Medicago truncatula: one gene and its partner. Each later gene encodes a partner of the first gene's protein in a complex. Links are inferred from orthologs where the notes say so. Each region holds a gene or a part of one and is shown on either strand. Other genes may lie near its edges.

The links. Proteins that work in one complex are often made in the same cells at the same time.
Region 2: protein GLE1 (region 1) and nuclear pore complex protein NUP62 share a complex: the UniProt entries of both Arabidopsis thaliana proteins name them as parts of the nuclear pore complex. The link is inferred for Medicago truncatula from reciprocal best matches to the Arabidopsis thaliana genes GLE1 and EMB2766.

The regions. Positions count from the first base shown.
Region 1 is NC_053044.1:42,616,296-42,623,338, reverse strand, and holds the start of protein GLE1, read right to left. Parts: upstream 3,008-7,043; 5' UTR 2,850-3,007; coding exon 2,848-2,849; intron 2,729-2,847; coding exon 2,567-2,728; intron 2,433-2,566; coding exon 2,280-2,432; intron 2,179-2,279; coding exon 2,058-2,178; intron 1,913-2,057; coding exon 1,764-1,912; intron 1,132-1,763; coding exon 963-1,131; intron 593-962; coding exon 388-592; intron 1-387. Other genes in the region: glycosyl hydrolase 5 family protein, read left to right, coding at 5,317-5,730. UniProt on the Arabidopsis thaliana protein: Required for seed viability.
Region 2 is NC_053048.1:21,855,359-21,862,344, forward strand, and holds the start of nuclear pore complex protein NUP62, read right to left. Parts: upstream 3,001-6,986; 5' UTR 2,851-3,000; coding exon 1,431-2,850; intron 1-1,430.

The DNA.
Region 1 (7,043 bases):
AACTTCATGATTTACAACAAATCTTATGTTGAAGAATTAGATCCCATATATATCTCAAAAAGAAACAAAAAAAAGAGTGTATGAAACGGAACTTTTGTGCTTAACAATGTGGAGACTGAAGAAAATATAGGAGATTTAGTCTTAGTGACACCGAAGTTATTGCTCACGAAAATAGCTTCATCAAATAAATATTGATGAGACAAGGAAGAGGATAACTAGTTTTACCAGTATACTAATATATATACAGAGAAACAAAGGATTTCCAACTTAATGGTAGTAAAAGAATAAGGCAAAGTATTTTGGCATATTGGATGAGGAGAAACGGGTAAAGGGAAAAAACTGACATTGGAAAGATATGATCTAAAAGTGAAAAAAGAAAACCCATACTGGATTCCTTGGTTTCAGTATTTAATAGGCTTGATGCGGTTTCTTGTGTCACACCAGAAGTAACAGTTTTGGAATTTTCTACAGCATTCTTTTCTGCTGCTGCTCTTTTTTCAGCTTCCATTGCTGCCTTTGTTTTGGCTTCCATCACTGCTTTTTTCTCAGCTTCCAATGCAGCTTGTTTTACTTCCTCGGCTTTAAGTTTGGCCTGCACCATAACATTTAAATATCGTGAATGAATGGTCATTTGGGCTTAAGCTTCTATAAAGAAGATTGGTAGCAAAAATGTATACTTCAACTAACATTAACAAGATCCATATAGTGGTGGACATGTAAATATCAGTGAAAAAAAGTTTTAGGCTAGTCGCCGGTAAAGTGAATAGACCAAACGAATGCAACAGTAAATGTATGGGTTGCAGTTTAGGACTCTCCAAACATGTCTGTAAAAAAAAGAAGTAACCCAACACCTCACTTTGTAGTTGTGAACAGATGATAACTAGAAATGAAAATTGAAGACAGTACATGTATAATTTTTTTTCCAAATAACAAAATCAAACTAAAATAAAAGGGCATGGTACCTCTGCTTCAGCTTTAGCCTTTTCTTGCTGTTGTTTTTCCTCCTGCAAAGCAACCTTTCTCTTGGCCTCTTCATACGCTGCATCACTTCTTATTTTCCTTTCTTCTATTTGTGATCTGAGTTCACGGTCTTGTTGAACAGCTGTCAACTGATTATCAAGTGCTTCTGCACTACAAAAAGTTTGGAGATGTCAATAATTAGTTTCTTTGTTTTCAACTAGTTCAAACACAGCAAATATCTAACAAGAGAAATAGTATTTTGGGTGATATAAGAGCAGGTTTAGTAGAAAATATGCTGCATATGTAAAATATTAGTTATCAACAGGAGAAATAGAATATAGAATCAACATCAAATCACACAGTGAAGCCCAATATTCATACAAGTGAATTTATAAAATAAAATTAGATTCCTCGACTTTAAATTAATGTGCATCATAATGAATTGTCTTCCAGTCTTCCTCCTATAAAGTATAAACAGATCAGTCATGTATCCTTTCACCAATATTTATTGAGAGAATTGTGAAACATATAATGCCCCTGCCTCGCTCAAACAAATGGTAAAAAAATGCTTAATGGATCTCTACAGGTAGTGGTGCAACAACAAAATCACTGTCATGCAAAAAAACCCATTATTTGAACCTCTCATAAAGCACATTAAGAATGTAGACAATTTTATAGGAGCCTGTAATTCATAGTCAATGCTTACTTTTAAGCCTGACAAGATAAATAAGTTGTAGAATGAAGGAATCATGTTGCCTTGAAAAGAAAAGATAAAGGAGCAGGACAAGACAATGGAGTCTTACATTTGGCGCTGATATTGAGTATCAAACTTTTTATCCAACTCCTGCCTTGTGTCTTTGAATTTCTCAACTCGAAGAAGGGATGAAATAGAGTTCTGACTTTCATTCAGTAGAGCTATCTCCAATGCTGAGATCTTATTTCTAATTCCATCCTGTGAATCGAAAAGATCAGGAAAAAGTATGCTATACAACACAAAACAAATCATGACGCAATTAACAAGTTATATGCCAACCAAGAATGACTAGCTATTCAATTTGTAACTGACATGTCAAATTGGTATCAATAGAACCACTCACATTAACCCTCAGTTGATGATCGTGTGTTAACTCGATCAAAGCACCTTCTACCTCCCCAACTTTATTCATCAAGTAAGGTTGCACTTCCAAAGCAGATTCAACATCAGAATCATCACTGTCGCTGAAACACCAAAGGAAATGACAAAATATTACTATCAAATCAAATCGACTTTATCATGATTTGAAATATGAGAATAAAGCTACGGTTCATGAAATAGGCACCTCAGATAAATTTCATCACAAGTGAAGTGTTTTCCAGTGTCCGATACTACTAACGCTTTGTCGTCGTCATCCTCACTGTCCGTCTCATACTCAGGGGCACGAAACACAAACCTTCTACCTTTCTCAATTTCTTTCCTACCGGATAAGTTAACCCTAAAAAATCAACAAAGTTCAATTTGACAATAATGACATGCTTCATATTCATAACCTTAATGCGGTTATTTTCACAAACAGTTGGTGTGCAAAAAAAAGAATAATGAATTGATAAGGTTTTGGAATGTGGGTACCTTGATGAAGTTGTTTGATGAAAATGCAAAGGTGGGGTGGAAGAATTGGCGGAGAGATTATTCTCCAAGGCATTGAGCTCGGAGACGAGAGCATCGAAACTCCAATCAGGATCAGCAGCAGCAATGTCATCATCATCCACTCGACCCAATTTCATAGCTCCCCTGCAAATATCATAATTAATGAACTCAAATTCATGTTGTCTATGAATATTAAACAAAATATTGAATTGAAATAGAATCTTAGTGATAATAATGGGTAAAATAAATAAATTGAAACTTACATTATTTTGATTCTTGATGAATATGTAGTGAGTAGAGTTGGAAGAAAGTTATGGAAAGATTGTTCGGAGAATGAATCGCGAAGAAGAAGAAGAAGAAGGTGGAAGTGAAGTTTGAATTTGAAACCCCGATTTTATATATATATATAGTACGGTGTTTTTTGTTTGGATAAGGAGAAACCGGGATTTTAAGCTTAACAACAACGCTAATTCGTGATAACCATCGACTTTATTTGTTTGTTGGTTTTTTTTTTTAATAGTGATATTGTACAATTCTTTGATAGAATAACTTTGGTTTTCTCTATTTTAATTGGTCAAAAATAATAGAGAGAAAAAAAAGGAAGAGAGAATAAGAAGATAATATAAGTATGAGAGAAAAAGTTGTTAAAATGTTGTTAGAAAATAGTTGTACAAATATATATTTTTTTTTTAATGAAGCATGATCCGTTAACATACCAGATGTAAGTAAAAAGACTTACACCAAATTTCAACCATTTAATCGAGTAAATAGTCAATTTCCCCCCTGAAATTGTAAGTTTCATCAATTACCCCCCTGAAATTAACAAAACTTCAATTACCCCCCTAAAATTTCACAACGTTAGTCAATTTACCCCCTCCGTCAAATTTTTCTGTTAGTGAACATGATGTTTTGCAAATACCCCCCTGAAATTTTGCACTTATGTGCAAAATGCCCTCCAACGTATTATTTGATAAAGTTATCGATAATGCGTTTTTATCTCGAGTTTGATCGTCATACTATATTGATAATTTAAAGTTATTTACATAGACATCAAATAATACGCGGTCATGTCAATTAATACTATAACAAATAGTAGTATATTTTTCAAGCATATTAATGATGTTTCAACGCCTTATTTGATAAATGTGTAAAATAATTATCTCTTCTTTCATTTAGAGGTGATCACTTTGCGATTTTATTTTTTTTGTAGGTAGACGAAATGGCAAAGCCATTATAAATTCACACACAAATGGAGGTACTGGGGTTTGAACCCCAATCATGACATTCGGCCTAACAATTTTGACATTTTGCCAGTTATGCTAGGACTTCTTGATATCATATCGCGATTTTAGTTAGTGTTGAAGTAAAAACTAGTTGCATACCAAAAAATATTACTTGCAATTTAGTTTGGTTTAGATCACTATTTTAAAAAAAATTGATCCGATTTAATTTGATGCGATTAAAATATAAATTGTTTTATTAATATATAATAAAATAATATGTTTAGAATAAAATATAACATATAATAATATCAACAATTAATAGCAAAGAATGACAATTATCGATTATGTTTGAAATATATTAATTAAATAGTTAAAAAATAGATTCAATTAATCTAACAAGTAGTATAAAATATAACGTATAATATAACGGGGCATAGTATCAAATATAACATATAATACTCTACGCCCCGTTATCTCCCTTCTCTCTCTCCCTCTCGTACCTCTCCTCTTTCTCTCATCTCCATTCTATCTCCTCTCCTCTCATGTCTTCTCTCTCATTCTCTATTTGCTTTCATATTTCCTCTTCTATGGTACCTTAAATGTTTGAATTTATTATTGTCCACCAACATCCTACAAGTAGGGTTGGGAATAGGCCTGACCTACAAAAATTTTTGCAGGCCTGAGCCTGGCCTATGGCCTTTCATAGGCCTATTTTTTTTTCTGGTCTGGCCTGAAAGCCTATTTACAGGCCTACTTACTATTAAAGTCACTAAACATTCCATTTTATCTACTTTTAAATAGGTTTAATAGGCCTCAAAGCCTATTTCAGTGTAAGACTTGTCTATCACTACTATAAGGCCTTAAAAGCCTATTTCACTATAAAGCTTTAAAGTCTATTTAAAAAGTTCACTATGAAGTCTAACATGCATAAACAGACTGGCCTATTAGGCTTCATAAGCTTTTTTGATAGCCTAAGCCTGACCTATTTACTTAAATAGACTTTTTAAAAAGCCTAAGCCTAGCCTTTTTAATAAACAGGTCAGGTCAGACCACGCTTAAGCAGGTCAGACCATAGGCCCCTGTAGGCCAGCCTGGCCTATTTCCATCCCTACCTACAAGAAAAGACTATCCTTAAAATACTCAATCATTATTTTATCAATTTTCTTTTTATTATTAAATAAATATTTCTTTATGTGTGTGACCAAACATTATTTATTTGATCTTGTGACCATATTAGAATTTCTCTTTTGGTTTTCTATTTTTATATATAATTGGTCCTTTATAACTCAAAAGTTTGTGTGATAGTACTCCCTCTGGAGAGAGTATTATTAATTAAAGTTGTTGTTAGTTAAGTAATTACTACAAAATTTGTCGACTTTTGTCTCTACAAATATTAAGCGAGTCACGGGCATTAGTGTATATATTGATCCCAATGCATGTATGTGAAAACTAAGATCACATGACATGATATGATGTTAACATATAGTACTTGAAATATTAACACAGAATATGAGTGGATGCTCTTGGGGGTTACCAAATATGGCAACAATGTCAGTAATGGTGCTACTACTGCTCTCCATTGTAAGGGTGACGGCTCTTCCACTTCACACCAATGGACGGTGGATCGTGAATGAAAGTGAAAAGAGGGTGAAACTAGCATGTGTTAATTGGGCATCACATTTAGATACCTCAGTGGCTGAGGGTTTGAGCCATCAACCTCTTGATGTAATTTCAAAGGGAATAAAATCCATGGGTTTCAACTGTGTTAGGCTCACTTGGCCACTTCTCTTGCTCACTAATGACTCTTTTGCTTCTATTAAAGTGAGACACTCTCTACACAATCTAGGACTTCTTCAATCCATATCTGGGATTCAAGCCAACAACCCCTCCATCATTGACCTTCCCCTCATCAAAGCTTACCAGGTACTCCTTATGATTTTGATTTTAAGAAAAATTAATTATGATTAATATCTTAATCTCATGGAAAAATCATTTTTCAAAAGTTTTATTCATGCACATTTGTTCCATAAAATTAAAAGATTAATTATTGACAAATTAAATTCATATTATTAGAGGAGTATTCAAGAAATTATATCATTAAATAAATATTTAAATATGAATATATTAAACCCTAGATGGCTACTCATCCTTACGAGTACCATAGGAAATGTGTTTTGGATTTTGTTGGGTAAAAAGTAATGGAAGGTGGATAAGTTAACTTATATTAGATGATGATTATGCAACGGATAAGCTAACCGATAGTTTTTTTTTTTGTCAAGTAGTATAGTGGTTAGAGCTCACACAATTAAATTGTGGAGTGTTCGGGGTTCGAACCCCGGCCCCTGCATATATATGCAATATCTCTACTAACTGAGTTAAGCTCACAGGGATAGCTAACTGATAGTTAATTGTGAATAAGATAGCGTATTATATTTGTAACGTTTGATAAAATTAACATTAAATTAGTTGATAAATATGAAATGATGATAGTTAATTGTGAATAAGATAGTGTATTATATTTGTAACGTTTGATAAAATTAACATTAAATTAGTTTTTTTTTCTTCTGACAGACTTAACATTAAATTAGTTGATAAATATGAAATGATATAATATTTCAAAAAGAATTAAATGATATAAAAATATATTTTTAATTATTATTTATTTATTTTAATTAAGTATGCAAACTTATTTATGACAAAGGAAAAACAAAAGATGGATATATAAACCTAACCCAATAGAATAACAAAGGCACGAAAACTTGACAAAAATAAATAAAGGCTGGAAAAAAAATTGTTATTCCAAAGAGATCTATCTTAAACATATACTCCAATACTATAAGCTCAAAAGTTGTCCTTGCCAAACAGAACTTTATTTACACGATTGAAATATCATCCTTTTGTGAATTGCATTTACATGACAATAGGACTAAAATTAATTTGGAGCATTAATATCTCTCAATGCGACTATGTTGGAACTTGAAAGTACCATAACCAAAGTCAATGATGTAGTACAAAAAAAGCATTTTGTTGGACTAAAATTTTTGCAAGTATTTCGAGGTCTGTGCTATTGAATGGTTAGGTCGACTATTTGGTGAGCTAGCCTAAGTATTAAAGCACCGGCTTTAATAATACGGAACCTTTTTAATCAGGACTTTGTCTAATTTGTTCAAAATATATGTTCAGACTTAATTTGGTTTAGGTTCTAACCAATTACTCCTCCGTTTTAAAATAAGTGT
Region 2 (6,986 bases), on another chromosome or scaffold:
TCTATAGGTATAAAGCAGCCCTATTAGATGTTGTAAATCTAACTAATTTCATAATTCTCACAACATGAATAATTACCTTCAGATTTAGATTTACCAGCAAATTTTTCAAATAAATGACAGTAAAATATCCAATAAACTAATGCATGAATAAACAGAAATGTTAGGACTTGGAATCAAGGGGAATTTGTTAGGATTGGTGTTAAGAAGTTAATTAGGGGTTAGTAGTTAAGTTTGGTAGACTTTCTGTCTTAATTGATGTTAATCTCCTATTGCTTATAAATAGGACTTACCTCCCTTTAGAAGGATTAGGAATTCATTTAATGAAAATTGTAAACTAGAGAATGCTCTAGTGAGGGGAGAGTGCTCCCTTGGGGTAGCCTTGAGTGCAAGGTTATCTTCTTCATTACAAACCTTTTGTATCTTCTGTTTCAATCCTATCATCCCATTCAATTGATAATAACAGAAAGATATTCAAAGAATTCTTTTCACAATTTTGTTGATCAATCTTTATCCTAGTTAGAATTATTGCTGTGTATTCATTTCTGCCCAGTTTTAAGGAATTCGTTTGGAATCTTAATTCTTGGGTTCCTAACAGGAAATTAGACCAGAAGTAACAACAAATAATATAACCATGACCAAGGAATCAAAACAACGCACAAACGCTTCCAAGTTTGTCTTACAACATACTCTAACTCTACTTGTAAAATTCTCCCTCCCGCCATCTTTTCATTGAGTTACTACAGATACAAACTCACAATATAAGAGATTAACAGAAATAAATTAAGTAAATTTTATTTGGATATCCTCCATGAATGAATGGACATTGAGGTTCAAGACGAGCAAGAATTTATACACAATAATATCAGTCTTCCACAAAGATTTGAGTGCCTGGTCTCTCACTCCAAAAACTAATGGATTAACTAACTCGCTTCACTTACATTCTCTATTTTTACCCTTCCTCTCCTATTGCAATTAGAGGATTGCCTAACTGTAATAACTAATAAACTCTAACCAATTAAACTAACATTATGTAACCTACGAAGTTGTAACATGTAATTTAAAGTAATTATCTACATACTTCCCTTTCCCTCCACTCTATGTTACGCTCTGCTTGGTTACATGGCAACTTTTCCACGTTTACATTAGAAGCTTAGTTTTGTAGCTTCTATGAAATCGCAACAGGAGCATAACTGAACGTGCTTTTGGAGCTTCAAACGCAAAACCATGCTACATCTCAGTTACTCACTCTCAACATTTTCGTGTACCATATTCTATAGTACAACTTCATTTGTGTGCAAGCAACAAATAAACTCAATAAAAAGAGGCATCATATATGAAAATCAAAATATTCCATTCTAACACTAACAAAGACAGTTCACACACCTCAAAGACAACAATAAACATACTCGAACTCAAAAAACATGGCTTACCAAATGTAAGAGCAGTGGATGCTGAAACAGCCGGAGTTGAAGTCTTATTAGCAAACTGAAATCCCGTCCCAAAAGAAGCTGTCGAAGCAGTAGACGCCGAGCTTCCTACACCAAAACCTGCAAACGACGGTCCACTACTGGCCGATGACGAGCCAGCTCCACTAGACCCTGCTGCCACTGGAGCAACCGACAACGAAAATCCACCACTCGCCGGAGCAGAAGATCCAGCAACAGTAGCACCAAAAGCAGGCACAGAAGCCGAAACAATCGCAGCACCAGTCGTAGTTGTGGAGGCTGTTGTAGTAGTCACAGTCGAGGTCGAAAACAACGGCGCCGATGATGTAGTAAACGAGAAAGAACTCGCTGGCTTAGCAGCAGCCGGTGTACCGGACACTGAAGATGCCGCCACCGCCGGAGACGAAGACACATTGCCGAAACCAAATGCTGGTTGAGAAGCGGATGCAGTTGAGTTTCCTAATGAAAACCCTGACGAATTAGAAGAATTCGTTGCGGTTATAGTACTAACTGGAGCAGAGGGTTTTGAAAAAAGTGAAAAAGACGTGGTTGCTGCAGAAGAGGTTGTTCCACCAAAGGACGGAGTAGAAGATGCTGATGACGGTGCTCCAAACAATGGCGTAGAAGCCGGAGCTCCGAATGACAGCGTAGAAGAAGCCGATGACGGTGCACTAAACGACGGTGTGGAAGATGCTGATGATGGTGCTCCGAAAGACGGCGTCGATGAAGCAGATGATGCAAATGTAAATCCAAAGGACGCAGTCGATGAAGCCGAAGCGGCTGGTGCTCCAAACGACGGCATTGAAGAAGCTGATGACGGTGCTCCGAATGACGGCATTGAAGAAGCCGATGACGGTGCTCCGAATGACGGCGTTGAAGCCGATGACGCCGCAACTCCAAACGACGGCGTCGATGACGGTGCTCCAAATAACGGCGTAGAAGAAGCTGAGGACGGTGCTCCGAACGACGGAGTCGATGAAGCAGATGAACCAAATCCGAACGCCGTAGAAGTTGCCGGTGACGCTCCTCCGAACATTGTTGTAGAAGCCGTTGTTGAACCCGAAGCCGCTCCTCCAAATAGCGGTGTTGAAGCCGATGAAGCTCCGCCAAAGAGATTCCCCGGAGTTGAGGGAGTTCCACCACCAAACGGCGAGCCAGCGGTGGCAGAACCGAAAATGGAAGGAGCAGATGCAGCGGCCGGTGTGGAGGAAGCGGGAGAAGCACCAAATAAGGAAGAAGAGGATCCAAAATTGAAGGAAGAAGGTGCAGTGGCGGTGGAGGTAGGGTTTGTTGTGGTGGAGAAAGGGGAAGGTGAGGATCCGAATGGAGAGGATCCGAATGAAAATGCTGATGTGGAGGATGATGATTGGGTGGAAGATGAAGATCCAAATGGGAAACCCGACATTGTTGCGAGTGAGAAAGTGATGGAGTGGTGGTGATTGGGATTTTTTCTGTTAGGTTTTGAAAATGAGGAGGAGGGGTTTGAGATTTTAGGTTCAGGGTTTTGCTTACGGTAGCGTTTATTCAACGGGATGATTGAACTGAATTTAGTAAATTGCTATTCACACCCTCAGACCTCAGTCAAGTTTAGTCACCCTCAGACCTCGTATCCGTCCAATTTTGATCAGAAGGATGAGAATTTTGTGTGATTGTTTTGATTTTGTAGGATTTTAAAAGACTTTTCACAATCAGAATTTTCAAACTATACTTTGAATGGATTTATAACATAAATTTTTAAGATTTTATGATTTGAAAAGATTGTATGATTCTTAAGAATAATTCAATATTACAAGAGTGAATGGATTTTTTTACATCGACAACAATGAGAAGATAAAATAAAATGCTTAAGTCCCCGTGAGAATAGCTCAATTGGCAGGAACAATGCATTGTTATATGCAGGGGTTGGGGTTCGAACCCAGACATCCCATTTATTCACTTATTCATGAATTCTAGTCATTAGATTATCTAGAAGAAAAAAAAAATGCTCAAATTCTTTTGTGAATACAATAAAATCAATTTTTTTTTTTTGTCCCGAGCTAGGACCTGGATCAGTTATAAAAAGATATTAATATAATATTGATTTTCCAAGAGGTCACATAGCACTCAAGAGTTTCAACGACGAGGTAGCTGATGAAGTTGGTAATCCTATACCTCTCCATGAAACCTATTTCCATCATTGGGCTGTTGTAAAATAACAACAAAGCAAACACGCCACACACACAGAAAATGATAGCCACATGATGCTTCAAAGCTTTGATCATGTTCTTGTGAAAGAACATATTTCAAAGAAAATACAATTAATATTTCCAAATAAAATCGGTATGTAACGTGAACAACGATATTTTTCTTGAGTGGACGTGAACAACAACAATGAGAAGCAATAATATAAATGATGAGATTTATTTATATTCTATAAAATCAGTATCTAACGTGAACAATGATATTTTTTTTGATTATCTTGATTGAATGCCATGAGATTTATTTATATTCTATAAAAGTCTTGATTGAATATCATAAGATGTTTTTATTATCAAAAAGTCTTTTAAAATCATAAATTCAATACACCCCCCTAAAACATTTTTTAAAGTAAAATAGAGTATGTTGTATTAAAAGATGAGCTCAATTATCCTAGTGAGATTAACTCAGTTGCTAGAGACAATGCATAATATATGCAAGGTTTGGGTTTCGAACTCCAATCACCACGAAAAAATGTGAGCTTAACTCTTAACATTTTATAAAGAAAAATGTTGCAGGGTGTAAAAACCTTGAAATAAGATAAAAAAGCATAGAAGAAAATGAATCAATCATTTGAAGTCAAGCATCTAACCTCAACAATCCTCTAGATAACTCACAAAGAAAGAAATCTAAATCAAGCATCTAAACACAACAATCATTTTTTGATAATGCAAATGTTGTGGAGATGATCAATATATTTGGAAGTTGTCATTTATATTGTTGTTGGAGGTGATTGCATTTTTGAGTCCTTACCTGTATGTCCATGCATCATAGTCATGTTGAGTCTTGTAGTTGTAAAAGGGTTGAGCTCTTTTACTTCGGAGATTATGTAAGACGGGTGTGAAATCTTACATACGATGTTTTTGTTGCATCGAAGGTGACGACCTTGAGGTGATTCGGTACCACATGCATTTATGCGTCATGCTTAGGGACATAACATTTTGTTGCATGAGTCCTAAATGTGGAACAATGATTGACATACTTGTGGTTATGAGTGATTGGTTGTGATATTTGAATTTACCATTATGTATTATTGTTGAGGTTGATTATTCATGGCAATTATTTGGAATTTGAATTGTTTTATTGATGTCTAACTGTTATGTGGATTATAATGATGTAATACTTACCCCCAGTGGTTTGACCGCCTACCTGTCTGTATGGATGGGTAGACGCTGTGCAGGATTAGTTGCTCTGGTGAGTTGATTGATGCTTGGAGGATATCAGGAGTTATCTCTAGTATTGGTTTAGTTGAGTCTAGGATGGCTCTGATCTAGGTGTCTGTTAGATTTCCTAGATTTATCTGTTTGGATTTATTCATGTTGGAGGTTTACCCATTATTGGAACTTGGAGATCATTTATGTTGATGTATTTTTGATATCATGGCATGTATGCTCGATTTATATGGTTTATTGATGTAGTATTTTTGCATCAAACAAATGTAAGTATTTGTATCGTCTCCTCAGGGACTAGTGCGATATCGCGGACCGTTCGACACCAAATATCATTCTAAGTTAAACGATAATTTGTTGTTTGTTTGAATAACTAAGTTGCAAATGATAAAGTTGAGATTAATAGGGCGTAAAACTTGTTAGGATTAGAGTTCCTTGATCAAGCGTCGCACATAACCTAATGACCATACATGGATTCTAGCTTTTCTTTGATATTATCACATATCCCTCGACAACACTATTCGTGTCCAAACAATATTGTGAAATCAATTGTATCATTCAATGGTCGATGTCTCAAACTATTGAATGATTCAAGAGTCGATCTTATCGTTCAATCGATGATTTCTCAATCTATTGAATGATAACAAAGCTTTAGGTTTGGATACACAAGGTGATTATCAAAACATCGATTCCATGTCTAGAACCTATGTTTTGATAGATGGTTATTCTAAACCTAGATTCAAAAGTATTTCTCAATCACAATTAAATCAAAGATAACATTAAAGTGCAAGAATAACATCAATATCAAATCAAATGCTAGAACCATATATTTATAGATCAAAAGATTACATGTTAAGCTAAGATCAAGTACCTCTAATCCCAACAAAGGAGATCTAGCTACTCATTGTCATGGAAGCCTTGCAAGAATGAATTGAAGAAGCAAGATTCAATACAACTTGTGATTTCTCAACAAAAGATGAAGAATCCACTTTCTATCACTCTCACTCTATGAAGAACAAGCCCTATCTCTCTCTCCAAGAATATTACAATTGAAAAACTATGAAAAACTAATACCCAAAAACTGAGATGATTGAGTGGGCTATTTATAGAATTCTGACTCTGCATCAACTCGCCTCGCAAGCTCCTTCATTCGCCATGGCGAGTTGAGGTTCCTTCACCATTGGGTTTGTGCCATGTCATCTGTGAAGAGTTAAACCGCCCTAACTCGCCTCGCGAGTAGATGATGAGATAAAACCGCAAGTGCACGGTCTTACCGAAGTAGTAAAATATGAGTATCGTTCCGACAGGGAGTTATGAATTCAATTAACTTTAGATCATGATTAAACTGAAGATTTTATAAGGTAGAAAGGTTTGTATTTTTAATTAAAAGCAAATAAGAAAAGAAAAGATAAAAGCCTTGGAATTATTGGTTCATCCTAATGACAAGTCCTTCACAAACCAAACTATTAAACTTATAACCTTATGTTAGACCTAATTTCTCAAGACAGTTTCTCTTTTGTTCCTCTAGCAACCAAGCCTATTTCGCTGACTTGATTACTATTAGATTTTGGTTCCTCTAACAACCAAGCCTATTTCGCTGACTTGATCATTATTAGTTCCCTTGAAGATCGAAACTATATGTCTCAAAGATTGTAAAGACTATTTCGCTGCCTTTACAATCTTTGTCTAAATTCACTTGTTCGAATATCAAAGCTCCACTTTCGTTTTATGAATTGATATTTGAGATGATGGATAAACAATTATCAAACCCTCCACTTTCGTTTCCACAGTTTGATAATGGTTGATCCATGTTAAAGCGGTGAATTTAGATAAGGAATTAGGGTTACATAAGATTAAGGTTTAAAGCTTGGTTTGATTAGGATTATGTCATTAGACTTATCCAACAATCCCAAGACAAGAGAAGTCTACTCACTAATGTTCATCGTAGACAAGGAGAAGAAGAAAGAAAGCATAAAAATAAATAACAAGAAAGTAAATGAACTTTTATTAGAAAGACAATTGTCACATATTGCATTCCAAGAAAAGATGATTATTTGTGATGGATGGCTACTCTATTTATAGCATACATTTGACTTAAAATCTAAGCAGTTACATTCGGGCTAAAAATAGAGTAGCT